3 linked regions of the Styela clava genome follow. The protein of the gene in region 1 interacts with the protein of each later gene in a pairwise test. Links are inferred from orthologs where the notes say so. Each region holds a gene or a part of one and is shown on either strand. Other genes may lie near its edges. The genes, in order: translation initiation factor eIF2B subunit alpha-like, proteasome subunit beta type-1-like and proteasome subunit alpha type-1-like.

The links.
Region 2: the proteins of translation initiation factor eIF2B subunit alpha-like (region 1) and proteasome subunit beta type-1-like interact in a two-hybrid assay, tested with the Caenorhabditis elegans proteins (2 studies listed by BioGRID). The link is inferred for Styela clava from reciprocal best matches to the Caenorhabditis elegans genes eif-2Balpha and pbs-6.
Region 3: the proteins of translation initiation factor eIF2B subunit alpha-like (region 1) and proteasome subunit alpha type-1-like interact in a two-hybrid assay, tested with the Caenorhabditis elegans proteins (4 studies listed by BioGRID). The link is inferred for Styela clava from reciprocal best matches to the Caenorhabditis elegans genes eif-2Balpha and pas-6.

The regions. Positions count from the first base shown.
Region 1 is NC_135258.1:9,394,900-9,401,546, forward strand, and holds translation initiation factor eIF2B subunit alpha-like, read left to right. Parts: upstream 1-4,187; 5' UTR 4,188-4,206; intron 4,207-4,772; 5' UTR 4,773-4,814; coding exon 4,815-5,726; 3' UTR 5,727-6,027; downstream 6,028-6,647. Other genes in the region: A-kinase anchor protein 14-like, read right to left, coding at 1-50, 514-633, 1,115-1,234; dynein regulatory complex protein 12-like, read right to left, coding at 1,598-2,197.
Region 2 is NC_135255.1:8,349,030-8,354,688, reverse strand, and holds proteasome subunit beta type-1-like, read right to left. Parts: upstream 1,525-5,659; 5' UTR 1,509-1,524; coding exon 995-1,508; intron 911-994; coding exon 729-910; 3' UTR 575-728; downstream 1-574. Other genes in the region: large ribosomal subunit protein uL14m-like, read left to right, coding at 4,090-4,136, 4,287-4,797. UniProt on the Caenorhabditis elegans protein: Non-catalytic component of the proteasome, a multicatalytic proteinase complex which is characterized by its ability to cleave peptides with Arg, Phe, Tyr, Leu, and Glu adjacent to the leaving group at neutral or slightly basic pH.
Region 3 is NC_135255.1:11,108,371-11,115,617, forward strand, and holds the start of proteasome subunit alpha type-1-like, read left to right. Parts: upstream 1-4,160; 5' UTR 4,161-4,316; coding exon 4,317-4,319; intron 4,320-7,011; coding exon 7,012-7,158; intron 7,159-7,247. Other genes in the region: mitochondrial inner membrane protein Mpv17-like, read right to left, coding at 2,489-2,588, 2,666-2,718, 2,788-2,916, 2,986-3,063, 3,260-3,369, 3,766-3,853. UniProt on the Caenorhabditis elegans protein: The proteasome is a multicatalytic proteinase complex which is characterized by its ability to cleave peptides with Arg, Phe, Tyr, Leu, and Glu adjacent to the leaving group at neutral or slightly basic pH.

The sequences.
Region 1 (6,647 bases):
TCACCCATATAATCGATACAGTATAACCATGCTGAATCTCGCTTCCAAGTCTGTTATAGTAAAATATATCTAATATGAATATATTGTATTATGAAAAATGTTTCATATAGGTAATCGGCGAAGAACTAGAATAACAAGTTAATATGCTGCAAGAGGATATCCGAACTCCTTGCTCTTGTAGAACCTGAAAACTATTTATAGTCTATAAAATTAAACAATTACCGTAACTTGTTAGCTATTACAGATCCAGCCTTAACTTATCACCAGTCAAAGATTGTACATATAGGTACTCCTAAAGTATGCACACCAAGATGTCTCACAACCTGAATCTAACCTGGTACACAACCTGAGTTCACGTTGTGCGCCATCTTGGTGTGCATACTTCAGGAGGACCTACATAATTGGCTTCAACATTTGAGAGCATAGTTTAGTGAAGTTCTCTATATAATACACATTTGCATACACATTACACATATATAAAATTTAGCACAAAGAGCAAAATTCAAGACATACAGCGATGAACTTCTCTATCTGACCCACTCCATTTTCTGGAGTGAAGTTTTCACAAGACGACCATTCTATGTTTGGAATTCCAAAGTCTTCTTTATCTTCAAATATTATTGGAAGGTTGGCCTGAAAATATATATATATATATACGGTCAGTGATGAGCTAGAAAAATCGTAACAACCGGAACGCACCAAATTCGTGAAAATGTAATATATATTTACAACACGGCGCTACCAGTAATTTTGTCTATCGTAAGATAGAGCCGAAGAACTACAATGAAATTATCTGAAATATGACTTTTTAAAATTGAAAGAATATTCATACTAATTCAATACAAATGTTCACAAGGGTCAAAGGTCGGCAAAACATTCATTATACATTACTGCTGTGCACTAATTATTTGCCAGCTGAAATGTAAAAATAATTATGATGCAACAAAACATCAATTAATAACTAAGTTTCCCGAGGAAACCAGACTTTTCGAACCATAATTTTATTTTAACAACAGGAACGCAATGAACTGTCCAACAACCGGAACGCCGTTGGTATATGAAGCTTCAAGGCCTATCCAAGCCAGATTTGACATATCATATAAAATATACATACCAAATTATGTCTAATTTCAACTGAAACATCATGAACAGCTTTTGCTATTACGTCGTCGACTATTTTGAATGCTTCCTCATCAAATTCAGCAGGATCTTCATCACTCCATCTTACAGGCATTTTTTAGTCACAACAACTATACAGTAGTATCCCTAAAACCTTTAAACCTATCAATATGGTACTATGAAATTAATGATAACAAGGTAAAAATAGTGAGACACAAATGAAAGTCGCACAATTCACAACACAGTGATGAAAATGATTTATGAAAACTACAGGATTACATTAAAATATACCTAGTTCTCCAGTAAGCTATTGAATATAATCATCAACAAATATGAGCAGGTAGTCTAATCCAATGATCAGATTTTAGAATTCATATAAGTTTTATTGTCTATCATTGAAGGCAAGCGGATTTAAAATGTTCTCCCGTATGACCTTGTAAGCAATTCTTTCAACAGAACAAATTATCTGAATTTATTATCAAATATCCAGAGGGTTCAGACCGAACTCTAGAAGAGTAATTTTAGTTTGTTCCTGTATTTTAATTCCTTCTTGATCCCATTTATCCTTAGCTTCATCAATTTTTCCAATAAGTGAATCAAGCGAAGCCGTAAGGACTCCTTCGTATGATATTTCCATTTCATCGATTCTTTTTTCCAATATTCTGATTGTTTCGTTTTTTTCCTGTTCCATTTCTTCTTTTTCTCGTTTCGTTGTTTCAAGCTCTTGTCTTGCATTCGCTACTTGTTGTCTTAGATGTTCTACTTCTGTGTTTAGTTCTCGCATTCTAATGTCCATATCCGTGTGCATCGTTTTATATTGTCGAGTCAACTCTGCACTGACATCTTTTTGTTCCAATTTCTGCTCCTCAAGATTTTCCTCCATTTCATGAAGACGATTCTTCCAATCTGATGCTTGGGCTTGTGATCTCCGAGCAATTTCATTTCGATGAGCGAGATGTTCTTTCAGAATTTCAATTTCTCTAACAGTCTTTTTAAATTTGTCTTCTTCTTTTGCTACATCCTTCTTTTTGCCCTTCTTTCCTTTCTTTCCCTTGCCCTTTTTCTTTTTTGGTGGCATTTTATTTATTTACTATAATAGAATTTGATAGTGCTTGAATAAATAAGAAGTAAAATAAAGCATAATGTATATCAGGGGTCGGGAACCCATGGCTCGCGAGCCATATATGGCTCTTTTGATGGCGGCATAAATATGGCTCCCAGAAAAATCTAATATTGTAAGGCTAAGCTTACAATTGTTAACGAGTTTTCAAACCTATTTATAGCCAAATTTGCCAAGACGTTTGAAAACGTGCGCCCAGCGCATGTCTATGTTATTTGAGAGAATTACCAGACAAGCATTGTGACAAAACTAGGGGATTCTGGAATCTATTTTGTGACGCCACAAAGTGTTATAGTTTCGGAGCTATAGAGAAAAGCTTTTCGTCCGTTTGTACGTACTAATTACAGTATTTGTCATATTTAAATCAAACTAGTACAGAGATGCCTAAACGAAAGAAGGGTGATGGTGATGTGTATCGTAGATTTCAACTTGGCTGCATGTGAGCAGCCGTTGAAGCATCAGAAGTCACATTAAATGTATATTGACATTGTATTTGTTGACTTTTGAGTAAAATTTCAGGCCTGAAATGCTGTATGGCTCGCACGGAAATGCAATTGAAAATATGTACCTTTTATGGCTCTCTTGACCAAAAAGGTTCTCGACCCCTGATGTATATGATATATGGTAAAATCATGACAAAAAATCAGGCTGTGAGATTAGTTATTGCTAAAAATATTTGATGGTCTAATCACACTTTTGTGTACCTATAAAGCGTTAACAACTTATCTATCTATCTTAACTATCTAACAATATGAGATTAATTGTAACCAAAGTATTTCACATTACAAAAATATTATTCATTTGCAATATTTCAGTCATTTTCAATCCAAATATGGTTTCATGATGAGTCAACATAGGCTTTCCATTTTTTTTTGTATTGGCAGCAGTCAGTTCTTTTTGTCGGCTTTCCTCTCCTCCGGGATAAATATGTAAATCCTCCTCCTCCTCCTAATATACCTTAATACAGCTGTTCATTTCTCTCTGTCACGCATTAATACCGTACACATATAAAATTCCATTCCAGTTGTTATTATTATTTCTTATACATATAGAAACAAGTCATAGCTTAAAATAGTTACTAGTTCGCTTACTACATACCGGTAGCCTTGTACGAGCGGCAGAACACAAAATAAAACTCTCAGCCGAACGAAGCGTGTCGCGTTGTCATGGAGTTCTGATACACTTGATATTTTCAAGAATAATAATCCGGCCCTTGACCCCTTTGACAGTTTTCGTGACCTGGCTTCAATGACATTTATTGTCATTGCTGGCACCAACGACTAACATACGCCTGGCACTTTCCAAACGAGTTTACTTGTTTCATAACTATTTTTCATCACTACTACTAAACTGGAACGCTCCAGAAGACAAAACGACCAATGGTATTTTGATTTATAAGGTACCGGTACCAAAATTTCGGAAACACATCTAAAACATACAAACAGATAGCGACTCCAATATTTACAAGTTACAACCATGTCTGAAAATCTGTCTTGAGTACCGGTACCAGTATGTAAAGGGACACAACCATTGCGTCATGTTCCCAATCATGCTGTGCCGAATGCACTACAGGAGTGGTGACTCCTCTACGGCCCATGGGCCGGGGCCACATGGGCCGTGGCCCATAGCTTGATGGGCCGCGGCCCCATCAGGAAAAATTCAATTATCTTAACAAAATTTTCAATTTTTACCAAATTGTCAATATTCTAACCAAAAAAACATACTCCTGTAGTATGTGTACCAGGTTAGGGTTAGGACAAAAAAAATTCAGATTTTTTACATTATAGTTCTATTATGAGTTCGGGGACTGTCTGTGTTAGCCAAGTGAATAGTTTCTTTACACAACTTGATGGGCCCCGGCCCATGGGCCGCAGAGGAGTCACCACTCCCACTCCGAATGCATACCGGTATCCGATGGAAATGACCTGCGACAAAATTTGATTTTGGTAACTTGAAATTCTATAGAGGTAGTCTCATTAAGCTTGCTTAATTAGTAGGTACCGCTAGTAGCCTAGTTCTGTTGTAGTCAGCAATCAGCATATTCAGATATTACTGTATTACCGGTACCACAGTCAGGCAGTTGGATTATAAGAAGGATTTACAGATTTCTGGATTTATTAGACCCTATAATTTGTATTTGGCTTTTATCCAGTACCGGTACCGCACCATGTTCTTATATCTAATCATAATATTATTTTATAACTGAATAAAAGCTGTAAATGTCATCTGTATAAACATTTCTCAAAATATTTCGCAATGATTTTTCAGATATCCACAATCAAACAAAACTGGACCCTGTCACCAAACAGAATGCTCACTTGTTAAGTGTTAATAATATTCCATATCTGAAACAATTGAATCGTAATTCTGTAATTATTTCTTCCCAGTGATTTTCACTTACAGACTTAGCAGTGGCATACAAGGCCTTTTGGCGTAAAATACATTAGTGATTTGTACTCCTGGACTGAATAATAATAATTTCCTCTTTTTTCAACAAATATTATTTGAACCATATCTCTTTTTATCTTTGCAGGTATTGTTTTGTATATAGCAAGGGTATTCACAGAAAGAGATCATGAATGATGAAGAGATAAGTGAATATTTTTTGTCGGAATTACGAAACAGTACTCAATCATCTCCCGCAGTTGCTGCAATCAAAACTCTAATAGAATATCTGAGAAAGGATCATGCTGAAACATTATCAGGATTACGAGATAATCTAAAAAGTGCAATAGAAGTGCTTGTGAGGACTGACTGCACAGGAATTACACCTATCTTGTCTGGATCGGAACTGTTTCTTCGCTTTATCACCCTATCTTCTTTAGAACACTCAGACTTCGATAAAGTGAAGGATATTCTAATAAGCCGTGGTGAAATGTTCCTGCAAAAAATATCATCCAGCAGACAAAAAATTGCCAGACTTGGGTTGCCATTTTTGAATGATGGTATCAAAGTTCTTGTTCATTCATATTCAAGAGTAGTTTTGAACATGTTAATCAAAGCTATGGAAGCTCAAAAGCGTTTCACTGTTTTTGTCACTGAATCACGACCAGACATGAGTGGTAATATAATGGCGGAAAAATTAAGAGAACATGGCATCCCAGTGACTGTAATTCTTGACTCAGCTGCTGGTTATGTTATGGAAAAAATAGACCTTGTATTGATTGGTGCTGAAGGTGTGGTAGAAAACGGTGGGATTATGAACAAGATAGGAAGTTACCAAATTGCTGTTTGTGCAAAGGCACATAATAAACCCTTGTATGTTGCTGCCGAGAGCATTAAATTCGTTCGCCTTTATCCATTAAATCAGCAAGATGTACCGAATGAAATAAAATACAAAGCATCAACAATCAAGTCCAAGAATCTTGACCAAGAACATCCTAATGTAGACTACACTCCTCCATCTTATATCACTTTACTAATAACTGATTTGGGTGTCCTGACACCTTCTGCTGTAAGTGATGAACTTATCAAACTATACTTATAAAGTTGTAATGGTTGGAGGTTGAATATTCGCATCTGGGAGATACCACCAATACAGAATGGTGGCCAGTATTCCGAGAGTCATAAAAATTTTTGTCAAGATCTTGCAAGTCTGCATGGAATGCTATATGGCCATGTTCAGGTCATTTTAATAACACATCAAAGGTGCAATGTGGCATATCAATATTGGTGATAATTATTCGGATTCTAATTTTATTTTTAATTGGCGCGGTTTTGATTGAAGTTTTTGTTGTATGATCTGTTATATCACAGCAAAATTATTACTTTATAAAATGAATTTCAGAGGACTATAAGAGTACTTTCGAATGTCTTGCTTTGGTTTAGGAGAATTTGCTCAGAGTTGAGTCATTCATCTGAGCAAAATTGAAGGAGACCACTGAAATTCCAGCTTTCAGCTATTCCAGTCGCGAATGAATTAATAATCCAGAGAAAAGAATTAATAATGGGAAGAAAAATATTTGTTCCAGAATGCGGGACCCCCAAGTAAAGTTAATGATTATTGCCACATCGTCAGAATACAGATGTTTTTTTTATTCAGAAATGGAAAATTCTTTAGCTCTGCGTGCCTATGGGACATATCCGTTGATATGTCGGGTAGAATTATATTTGGTGAAGATGTGAGTTCTATCAAGTCATATCGACTTTTTTTCTACACATCAATTCACGTACTGGGTTGCAGTGTGGAAAAATTTGGTTTACCCATAATGTAATTTATAATCAGATGCCATGCCCATACCTCAAAATTCATTGCTCTTGCCGGCTGTATTTTGAACTATACAATGTTACTGAACACAAATAAAATCTCAGTATCTGTATTTACAGAGAGTAAAAAATTCATCTCCACAAACAAATATGAACAAGTGTCTCGCATTTAAAAAACTCTATCATTTGCTTTTGTTTTATA
Region 2 (5,659 bases), on another chromosome or scaffold:
TTTTCATCCATGAAACTTGGATATTACTATATGCAGAGGTCACCTACTTGCATGATAGTCAGGGGATAGATTCTCCAGAGAGATATTAATTGGGTGTAGCTGGCGAGGTGTGAAAAATGATCCTGCAGACATCAGACCAGGTGAAATTCTGTTGTGGGTAAATAGTATTCTTAATTCCCCAAGCAGGCGCTATTTGACATATTTTGGCTCTAAATGTACACGGACGGGCAGTCAAGACTAACCATTGAAATGCATGGAACTGCGCATATTAAACAAAATGCATGCAACACCAAACATTCCTTTGAAACTTCTCTAATGTAATACCCATCATTCATACACTTTTATATTCAAGAATGTAATTTAGTAATAAAAGGTGTGAAAAATGATCCTACAGACCAGGTGAAATTCTGTTGTGGGCTCGGCAAATAGTATTCTTAATTCCCCAAGCAGGCGCTATTTGACATATTTTGGCTCTAAATGTACACGGACGGGCAGTCAAGACTACCATTGAAATGCATGCAACACCAAACATTCCTTTGAAACTTCTCTAATGTAATACCCATCATTCATACACTTTTATATTCAAGAATGTAATTTAGTAATAAAATGCAAAGCATTTTTTCAAACAAGCTTCGAAATGCTCACATTTACTGACAAATGAACTTTTTTGAGCATCTTGCACTGTTAGATAGTGCTAATAATGTCACAGAAAGTCCTGGTAGAAAAACTCAGTCTCTTCTAAGAGGGAATCGTTCTGTCTTCACACCATTGGCATCAATAATATGGATAAGAACACTATCTCCAGTCGTTATATCTCGTTCAGCAGCAGATATGAAAGCATCCTTTACTAGCTGTAAACCTTTCTGTTTCGTAAGAGGTATTTTCGGAACATTTTCCATATTCTTGAAACCTAAAAAAGCATATTTAATCATGTCATTTTTTAACTCGTTAAAAAATCATTGTTATATTATATCCATGTTACTTTACAACATACCTATCTGATTGTCCAGAAGAGGTTGCAACAATTCAGCAGCTGAACCTTCTGCCCTATATGCTTCACGTTCATAACATCCAACCGGATCGTATGAATACACACAACCTTTGCCTTCATCATCTATGCCAGCCAACAGGTTGTAAACATAGTAAGGAAAGAATCGCTTGTAATAAAGGATGGTTGATAGCATGGCGGCTATTGCACTGACACTTGGCTTCTTGCCGTGCTCATGCTCATATAATTTTATTCTATTTTGTATGACCTTTTTTAGGGTCAGACTATCTCCATGAAAACCTGCAGCTCCCAGCACAACTTTGGGGGTTAGCTGTAAAGTTTTTGGTTCTTCCCGGCTGTGTATAGAGAAACCCTGACTCAGCCTGGTATCTGCTGCAATTATGGCAAAATCATCTCCAGAAATCGCCAATGTATTACCACCGTTTGAAGCATATGGGGAAAAATGTTGCTGCTTTGGTGCATTGATTCCATAGGTTTGAAGTTTTCCAATACTATCCATTTTTTTATTTTTGACCTGTATCGTGCATAATTAATCATAAAATAATAATAAGTGAGTATTTAATATAGAATAATTTTAATATATAAGCACCACAGCTAACGAACAATGAGAAATTCGTAACACCACATTTTTTACTTTCAATAGTTGACACGGAAAAGTAGGGAATTAACTAAAAATTCTTCAAAGGCAAAATATGAAATTATTTACATCCTATCCATATTTGCAATAGGATTTACATATTTATCCAGAGGGAGAGGAAGTTGACTACAATGTCACAATCGATATGGGATTAGTCCGCCATTTATTTGTTTTTAGACATATGGACTCAATGATGGAGAATTACAACAGTCCTCTTCCACATACTGACATAGTTGGGCGGAATTCAAGCTTACAAACCCAAGCACACTAATCAGAAGTGCGATGGCAAGGGTACCGCTACCGGTACCGTATTCCTAATGATGAGCGTGATTCGCCATACGGTACCGGTACTATAATTGACATTATCAGACTATGGGTGGTAATAAACCTCACTGCCTATAAAATAGATTACCTGAATACCAAAGTTGCTTATTTCAATACCGGTAGATTCTGAAATCTGGAAAATGTGAAACTGATTTAAAAATTACAGATCTAGACTATCTAAGATTTTAACGTAGATTTTAAAATCTTAAATGTTCTTCACAGTAATATGCTTATACAGCTAACTTATAAGTATAGAGTCAGCAGCGCAACCTAACCGTAATTTGAGCTACAACGTAGAGTTTTAAACACGAAAGTCGCTCAGCCTCCGATCGAATCGAAAATTACAACAGAACGTATTATTTAGTAATGACGCAGCTAAAATAAATTGCCGTATCATCAAACGGATGGCTGAATTCGTCATGCCGTGCCAGATTTTCACGTTGAAATTTATGTTGTACTCAGGGAGAATACAACACTGATTGTTCTTGTTGACTTATACTGAAATTGGGTGGATTAGCCAGGTGAAAATTTTCATAAGTACCTTGACTAGCAACATAAACTAACACATCACTGCGGTACCGGTACCTTCATTTTATGTTTTGCCAGTGCTGGAGTAATTAAATTGCCGAGAATAAAGTTCCGAAATATATTTTATTGTATTGAGTGTGCAAAATGCAAATGGTACGATACCGATACTTGCTGACTTCTGTACTTGACAAATTTATCTTACAATATTGTTGGGTGCCTGTATAGGGGCATATTTCTCATGCTGCCTTTATCATTGTGATCAGTTGAAACAGGTCTAATTTCAGAATTGATAAAACTTTTTATTTTTTTACTGGACTGCCGCCTTCATTGTCTGTCACAGTTGTTTTTCATGGTCTTTTATTAACGTTTGGTAACCACCTAATACTCAGACATCATCATGTTTTTGAATGCAATAACATAGACTACTATGTTTATCTTTTTTCTCTTTTTATTTCGTTATTATGTCTTAGTGATTGTATGTGTGTGTGCCTTGTGCGTGCGTGTATTCATTAATTTAACACATTTTAGGTGAGGAACATTGTATCACTTCTTTTGACAGCCCCTTACTCACAATTTTAAATCTGTATGTCTCAAACAGTACATGAGGTTTTGGGGTCTAGTATAGTTTAGTACCGCAAGTACTTCCAGTAGGCGTAGCATAACGAATTTTGCATATGTTATTACTAACCCCTCACCTGACTAGGCCATCCAAAAATTGAGTGGAAGTGGTGACTCCTCTTCGGCCCATGGGCCGGGGCCACGGCCCATCAAATTGGGCCTAGGCCCATCAGGCTATGGGCCGTGGCCCATCAAGTTGTGTAAAGGAACTATTCACTTGGCTAACACAGACAGTCCCCAAACTCATAATAGAACTATAATGTAAAAAATCTGAACAAAATTTTGCCCTAACCCTAACCTGGTACACATACTACAGGAGTTTATTTTTTGGTTCGAATATTGACAATTTTGTAGAAATTGAAAATTTTGGTAAGATAATTGAATTTTTCCTGACGGGGCCACGGCCCATAGCTTGATGGGCCACGGCCCATGTGGCCCAATTAGATGGGCCGTGGCCCCGGCCCATGGGGCGTAGTGGAGTCACCACTCCTGTAGCAAAAATTACGTCACCTTCACGTCATCGTGCTTGCCAAAGTATCATTACGATCGCCCGATATGTCATCTGCGCAGCCGATAACAAACTCGCTAGCGCCGGTGATCTTTCTGCGCGTTTTGGACGATCATCCGCTTACTTTGGTGGGCCTTATTATGTAACTGTGATGTCGCAATGGCATAATTTTTCGGTGACATAGTCATGTGAGGGTTAGAAATGACATATGCAAAAATTGTTAAGCCAGGCCAATTAGAAGGGTATGTGGTACTAAACTATACCAGACCCCAAGTTTTGTTTGCTCACCTGATTCTGTGATCAGTTTTGATTATTTCTTAGCTCAGTGGTTGGCTCATCGTGACCTCTGCTAACCCTCGGTTTCTATCCTGATTTCTCATACCAACTTATTTCATTGGTAGGTTTAAACAAGCATAATACTATTGGATGTCTTCAGATACAAGTTAAAATCCTGTGGATTAAAAGATGCAAAGCATTCTTAGATACTTCAACCCTTCAATTAATGCAGTGAGGTAAAATGAATTTTTATTATGTTAAAATTCAAAATCACAGGAAAAAAATGATTATTGGTGGTTATTTTATCTGTCAAGGCAATAGATTATTTTTTGGCTCACCTCTTTATTTTCTATGAAATATTTTTATCATGTAAAAAATTTCAACAGGGGATTCTACACATGCTGCAATGTAAAGGCACCAAATGCTGCACATTATGACAATCAAACATTTTATGAAAATGTGAATTTCGGAGAAAAACATCACCCAGGCAATGTTAGAGACAGACATCGGCAAACGAAGGCTATGCAGAGGAAAGCTTTTCAAAAACTTACCCGGGTAAGGGTAACTGACAATAGTGCACTTGCATTGCAGAGCTATTATCGTTATCCCCGAGTGATACAAGTCTACCATAAAACTGGATATGGAAGGGTGGGTGACACTGTACTTTTAGCAATAGGAGGACTGATGAAAAGAGCACTTATTATTGGTCAAAAGAGATCAATGGGCCCCATGAAAGCCAGAATGGATTCTAATAATGTAATTTTAATAAATGATGATGGTACTCCAGATGGCACAAGAATTACAGTCCCAGTGCCATCTTTTCTTAGAGGAATTCAATCTGCAAAGCAGAGAGTACAAATTTCTAAAGTCATTGCAATTGCTGGGAGATTTGTATGAAATACCTTCATGTTAACTGCTTCAACTTTCTTTCCTCAGTTATGCATGTTAATCCAACAATGCGATGGAAGCTAAAACTGGAGGTTTGTTCAGCTTTCCATCTATTGGTTAGATTGTCTAACCTAGTTATATGCTTCTGCTAAATATGAGACCATTGTGGAGATTGGTATATTGCAATTGTGCGAGTATCTCATAAATTTCTTCGTATGCATTGTATTATAAAAGTATTGACACCTTTTATGTGAAATATGATTGTTGACAAATCCACAATGTTGGATTAGTATTGTTGTGCTTGTTTGGGTTGAACATTTGTGGAGGTTGTACCATGAACTTTTGTATACTAACAGTAACAAGTCAAGCGCTAGTGCAAAATCAGGAAAGTTCATCCTTATTTTGCTTCATATGATTGTGTAAATATTGCCATTTGCTGAACCATACCTACCAACTATTTTCAAATGATGCCTAGTACCAACGAGAACCAGGACCCTAAAACAGGATTTCGATTGTTTTTTTTTACAAACGCAATGTAGTGAATGCAATATTGCATAAATGCTTATTGCCATTGAGATATTGCAATGTCTTAGTTGTACATTACATTTAACAAATATTCATGTAAACCATTCAACGTCTTGGAATACATAAAAATTGAATATAAGTATAATAAATTTATTTCGACTCCATAATCAGCACAACAATACATTTGACAGATAAAAACAAATAAATAAAAACTGATTATGAAATCAGGGGAGCAAACGAAACCTTAGATAAGGTTTATAACTTACAAAATATAAGATGGAAGGTTTTGCCAAGAAGAAGTGGTACGTGTTTACTCGCCTCAAATTATTAAGTTATTTCACACACG
Region 3 (7,247 bases), on another chromosome or scaffold:
TGACAGCACATTTGAACGTACGTACATTTGCACCCGTAAACTGCACCTAGGACATTCGCACCTGCATACTTTTGCACCACCGACATTTGCACCCAAACATTTCCATCCATAGATCGTAGCACCCACATGTGGATTGCACCCGCGAACATTTGAACCCATGTGTATTTGCACCCACGTACATTTGCACCCACGAACATTTCCACCCAGGTACATTTGCATCCATGAACTTTTGCACCCACGAACATTTGCACCCATGAACATTTGCACACTGGATATTTGCAACCGCGGACATTTGCACCCGCGTATATTTGCACCCACGTACATTTTCACCTATGTTCATTTGCACCCATGCACATATGCATCCACGAATTCTTGTACCCATGGCATTCTCACGCATATGCATGCGCCTCATAACAGTCATGTTCGCGATTAGACAAACTTTAATTGCCAAATATAAATATATTTGAAAAGAAGACGGATTACAAATTTTAAGTAGCCCTTATTCTTAGTGAGAGTCGCTACGTTTTTATTGTCATTGCGAGTTATAATCCTTTCCAATTGTTCATGGGTGCAAAAGTATGCAGGTGCGATTGTACGTGGGTTCAAAGATAATGACAAACCGTTTAATTTTATCTTCACGTTGCTGTCTTGCGATGTTGTTACACTTCGCTAATGAAGCTCTTATAACGACGTTCGAGGTTATATTCTCCCACGACAGATATATTTTTACTATTCCTTTAGTTTCTTACTTTTGAAGAGTAGACTCAGTCTCATTAACCCAAGATGCGATTCAAGATTGCTAGCAGCCAAAAGTATCTATTTTCATGCTTTTCTCACACAAAAGGGTCACCACTAGTGCAAAATTGTTGACAGAGTATAATAAGTATAAGTATATTTTGATTTTCCCGCAAAAGAATCATACAAAAAACACAAGCAATGAACACACAGAAGATTGGGAAAACTGGCAAAACCTTTATAAAGGTTTAATACATGCGCCAGTTTGCCCACGTTCAACACACAAACATATATTCAAAATAAAAAAGACAAAGGCCAGAACGGGTATCAGAGTGTATTGATTAAAGAAAGAACTGATATTTGCCACGATTTTTTGGATTGTGGTCTTGCATGTCAAAGCATATTTATTTGAAAATTTTGTAATAAGCCTTAGAACACCAATGCTGGAAACCAACTGCATGAAAGATTAATGAAAACATAATATAAATCAGCAATTCAGACAAATTAATCTCGATAGAATCATGGTAAATTAGACACCTGTGACATACTATAAATCAGCAATTCAGACAAATTAATCTCTATAGAATCATGGTAAATTAAACACATCAATAGATGGGGTAAATGTAGGACGGGCTGCAGAAAGCAACACTTTATCCTAAACATTTATTTTGAAAAGCCATCAGTTTACTTATTTTGTAAAGATTCTAAAAAATCATGACCTATTCAGTTCTGTGATTAGCCCCCTTCCAACGAAGGGGCGGGAATATATGCATTTTATAGTTTCGTACAAATGTGTGAACATAAAATACTGCAAGCACAAGCATTTGGGAGAAAATAGTCTCTGAAGCTCGAGTCACAGGTCATCACAGAGCCTTGATTCAAATTCCAGAGTTGCAGAAAATTTCAAAAATGTGGTCAGTCATAGTGGATTTCAAAACAAAACTGGAATGGATAAATATGAGTAATATTGACACTAAGATTTGTAACTTCCATTAAACCAACTTAATCATGTATTAACAAATCATGTATTGACAACTTTTATATCGGTATTCGGTGCTAAAAATAACTATTTCGAATTTGGTACTTTAATAAGATATTTCCAATGTAACATCTACAACACAGCAAATAGTGTTTCTGTTGAGACGAGTCAATTGTTTTAGATACGCAACACTGGTTTGTATGGCCATCACATTAATTTATGGAAATTTACCAATGTATATTACAACGAAAGCAAAAAATAATAATTGGCAGTTAAACGATAAAATAAAACGCTTCCTTATGAAATTTAAACATAAAATGATTTGTTGAAGAATAAACTTAGGTGTGCTACATAAACAAGTTATCAGAGGCTACATAAAAAAGTTATCAGACAATTTAAAGATCTGCGAGGCAGTATTGCACTTAGTTGCTTACAATAACAATTGAAGAAAATCTACACTGCAATGTTTAAAAGATAAAAATCACAACCCCACCAAAATAACATAGAAATGTCTGGTACCATACCAGAATACTCCAAATACACTTGCAATATTAGTTCTATATAGCATATTACACTAAGCAATGACACTGGCACTATAGAAGTGTTAGACTGAGGTTTAATACTGCTTCATAGGAATATCTGCTTCTGCCATGAATACAATTCTATTATTCCGAATATTTTTTCCCCTTTTAATACATTTGAGTCAGGAGCAATGTATTTTTTAATCCTCCATCCACATTATAACAATATCCACCCCCTTCAACCTTGTCTCGCCTACATGACGCTCTCCATAGGTTGAATTCGTGTTTTGTTGTTAGTCCTATATGACAAGTAACAATTCCAAAAAAGTGCAATACTTTGTGAATACAACATCCTGCGAATAGGACACAAAATTGGTAAGTTGAAAAATGAAAACAAGTCATGTAATAAAAATAGTAAATGAAATCTTACCTGTATTGGAAAGGAACAAATTGAAAATTCACTATTTGAGCTGGGATCCATATCTTAAAAATATAACCTTTTATTTACACAAAACAAAAACAATTCATGAGCTATGGATATTGTATATTTACCAGCCAATTAATCTTCAAAACATCAGGTAAATCATGTCTGATACGATGTTTCATAGCCTTCGTTCCTTGACCAAATAATATGGTTTGCAAAACAAGGAATCCGAAGAGGAGGGGTGGAGACATAATGAACTAAAATAAGATAAAACAGTTTAATTTATGAACTCAAATATCATATGTATAATAATATAAAGTGTATACCTGATCCAAAAAGACATTGACTCCTGTTGAATATCCACGCATACTCAGAAACACATACCACATTGAAACTAAAGGACCCTGAAGAAATTTTAATTAAATCAATAAAGAAATAGCATAAATATCTGTGACTTATATTAAATATATAATATGACTAATTATGAATATTCTCATGATTCAGTTCAATTTGCAAACTAAGATGTGCACGATTTAAAAATTGAAATTTGACATATAATGAAGTTAATCGACTTTGAATAATACATAACAATAATCTTACAAGATACATTAAAGCACATGCTGCCATGATGGTTGTTCGTCGAAGGTCACAACCTTTTTTTTGCTCAACTAGTTTTTGTGAGATGACATCAGCAAATGTTGTGAGGATACCTTATATATGATAAGTAAAGCAGCTTTAAAAATACAACTCTCATGCCTGCATGCTGAGTGCAATTCCATCACTGGCACAACTGAAGTTATGAGAAGAAACAAGGTGTTTAAAAGATCAACAATGAATATCCAATAACAAAAGAGAAAATATCAGTAGATCAAATGAGTAATATGCAATAATGAAAATATGACATCTCAATTCATTCAGACAATACACAGATACCTGGATACAGCGGTGCAATACTATGCAGATATGGATCATGCACATCTGAGAACAAGTTGAAATGGATGGCTGGATGGGAACTTTTCATTCATAAACCAATACCGGTAAATTGAACTGTCTATTCTATTTTCAGCATTATTTCAATATAAAGACTGAAAAAAGGAAACGTTTACCTGCTGTGCCTGTTTGAGTTAGTAAAGGTCGTTGTTCCACAAGTTCTCCATAGGCTTTTAATAACACGTCGACGGTGAGTGTATTCATATTTCCCAACCTACCGTACTGCAAAACTACACACACTGATGCAGCGTTGTTTGGAAGATACCCGTAACCAAAGTCACTTTGCCCGTAACCTCTTGACGAACACTGACGAACGCTGACTGAACACGAAGTGAAATATGAGAAACTTTACTTCCGCATCGTGTTTCACGAATATTGTTTTTTTTTTATATTTATGTTATTAATACTTTAATAAATTTTGAATGTCTTCTAAAAATATATATATACATATAAAACTATTGTTAATTATCTTTGGAAACTGGTTTTGCAAAATTTTCGTTACGGTTCACCGAGAGCAAAACTGCTGAGCAATACAAGATTTCATGAATCATCATTCATGCGACGAGTTCCAGATCAGCGGTAGCTACTATATTGCTTAGTTTTCGTTTATTGATTTATGCTGCTAGATTAGTTCTGTTAATCCAGTAATTGTTTAAATTTGCTAAAGATGGTAAGTTGTTAAGATTAGTTAAAGATCTATTTATGTAGTAACAACACGAGTGCCATTTTGATAGCAATACATCCAGACATCTGTAAATGCAGTTGGAAACTATGCTCTATTTATATTTATGTGTCAAATCTTTTCCAAATAATTGAATTGACTGAATCATTTTAACCAAAATATTTGATTAATTACCGTAAAAGCAGGTAACTTCGGATGATTTCACTATATTATGAACAATTTCTCCGCCGTTTATTGTTCAATTGAAGCCAAACTTGGAATATAATACATTGAAGCCTTTCTCCTCGCGATAAACTCGGTTTCATATCAATCAATACTTTTTTTCATTCAAATTATTGACTTTATTTGCCTGCCGATCTGTATTCCAAATGTTTATAACTTCGGATGGCCACTTTTCGCTTTGCGTCACTTCGTCGTGAGAGAGAAATGTCTGCGTGATCAGTGACGCGTGATAACGTCGCTGCGTAGAACTTACGACGCCGTGATTCGTTTTGCGTGGTGCACACTGACGTTCATCTATGACGGCCGTTTTTGTTATTATTAATTCTTCCGGGTCGGCGGACATCAAAGTTTTATATATCTGGTGTACCCGTGTGTTTACATCGGCAACAGCTCTTGAAGACAAGAAGGACTGATTTCAAAACCCAAATTAATTTTGTTCTGATTTAATCTTACGTGTTGGCTTTGATCTTACTTATCACCGTTTGTATACTATTAATCGTTCGAGTTTAAAGCGAACGGTGATATTATTATCGTCGCCGAGATGGAGATATTTATTAAGACGATGATTGATGTTGTTATGCTTTGCACCCGCGATTGTGCGAATACTGAATTTTTATTTATAATAATGATTGAATAAATCGGCCGTTATGCATTTATACTTGGCATAAGGCTTTTGGTCCTGATAGCGGGTCGGACACTAATTATAACTATTTCCCTCAAGTTTTAACTTTTTTTTTGAACAAAACAATACCCCAACGGTTATTATAGCTAAAACCGTTACCGACTAATTCACAATTTTATCTGCGGAATTTGCGAACTCAGCACTTTACTCGACGATTTTGACAGTGTCGCGCCATAATTATTACCGCTAAATGCTTCAAAATACAACGCATGTAATAATTTTGCCCAGCCCTATTCCTGACGTTTCGCAAAACTAAACCATTTATCTCTTGACTATTCTTAATTTCATGAAAGTGCTATATCTTGCTATTATGATCGTTTCAATACGAAACAAAAATGAGACAACATGGGACAAATGAAAATAAAAAACGGACGAATAAAATAAGTCGTAAAAGTAAAAATGGAAAACAATTTTTAATACAAAACAAAAATGAAACGAATGAAAATAATAAAATAGAAAAATGGATGATGAATTACGGTAGGTAGTAAAAGTAAAAAAAATGGAAGTGGACAACAATATGGAACAGTGTAGCTTGTGGCCGTGTTGATAATTCAGATATAATGTATTCACAGGCAGATAGACATGAAACGGATAAAAACGCCAAAAACCTCCAATCTCCTGCTGTGTGCACCTGTGCAGAGTTTCATGCTCACCTGTGCAACATTCTACTCTTAATATATTATCATCGCCGATCGTAAAACCTTGTCATTGTGATAGTATAGATACGCGTATCTGGCTGTTCATCAGCCTTACGTATCAACAACATCTACACGGTCGAAGAATGCCGAAATGTTAACACACAAATTTAATGTGCATTAATCGGATTCACAATAAATAAACAGCATATGACCGGGGCTATAATTAAGTTTTTGTAGGATTTGGTGACGAGGATCAGGTAGGAGTTTTCACTTTATATTTAACTACACGTGGCGCCACATAGTCTGGCGTTCAAATGTCGCAGCGAGTTACGCACGAGCTACGCAATGTGACGTCGGCCTTAAATGGAGCGAAATTGAATCACGTTGTTGACGTCACGTTCAGCGTAAGCACCGTAACGTCGATATTTTGACGAAATTTTTAAATCAAAATAATATATTTTACTTAAATCTCGTACGACATCTCGTGATCACTGTAATTTTCCTTGTACATTGTGTATGCCCTCTAGCGATTGACGGTCTTTTAGTGAAGTTAGCGTCGATAGAAGTCGCTATTTTAGCCGCTCAAAAGCGAGGTGTCAATTTTTGGCAAAAAGGTGATTTTTTGTGTCAAAAAATAAATCCTATTAGGCGACTGAATATGATAAGAGATTAAGATATATAAGGACTCTCTATAGAAACTGCCAGAAGCAGAATATGACGTAATTTAGTCGAGATATAAACGATTGAAAATTTCATCCGAAGTTATAAACCATCCGAAGTTACCTGCGTTTACGGTATGTACCTGTGATAAAGATATTTTTGAGGGAGTCTTCATAATATCGATAAAAATTTTCATGAAATAAGTTACGGACTTTGTAGTTTGATATTGATGTTTTATTAAAAATGAATAAAAAATTGCCTTGTACAGTAATAAGCCATTTTGATGCCAGTCACACATGCATTTTAAGCTGACATGTTCTCGTACAGCCGTATGAGCATCAAGTTTCCAAATTCATCATTACATTGTAGACTACAGTTGTATCGTATACCTGCTTATCGGTGATAACATATTATACCTATATTATTATTTTGTTTCATAAACACTGCAAACTCGCAATGCAAAATCTTTTTGTTTTAGTTTCGAAATCAATATGACAATGATGTGACAGTTTGGAGCCCACAGGGACGTATACACCAGATTGAGTATGCAATGGAAGCTGTGAAACAGGGATCTGCTACGGTGGGATTGAAGTCAAAAACACATGCAGTAATTGTTGCACTAAAGGTAATGGGATTCAAGTGAAAGAATATGAAATTGAAATAAACCGATTACCGGTAGTATTCTTCAGGAGATAGGATAATAGATAAAGTTCA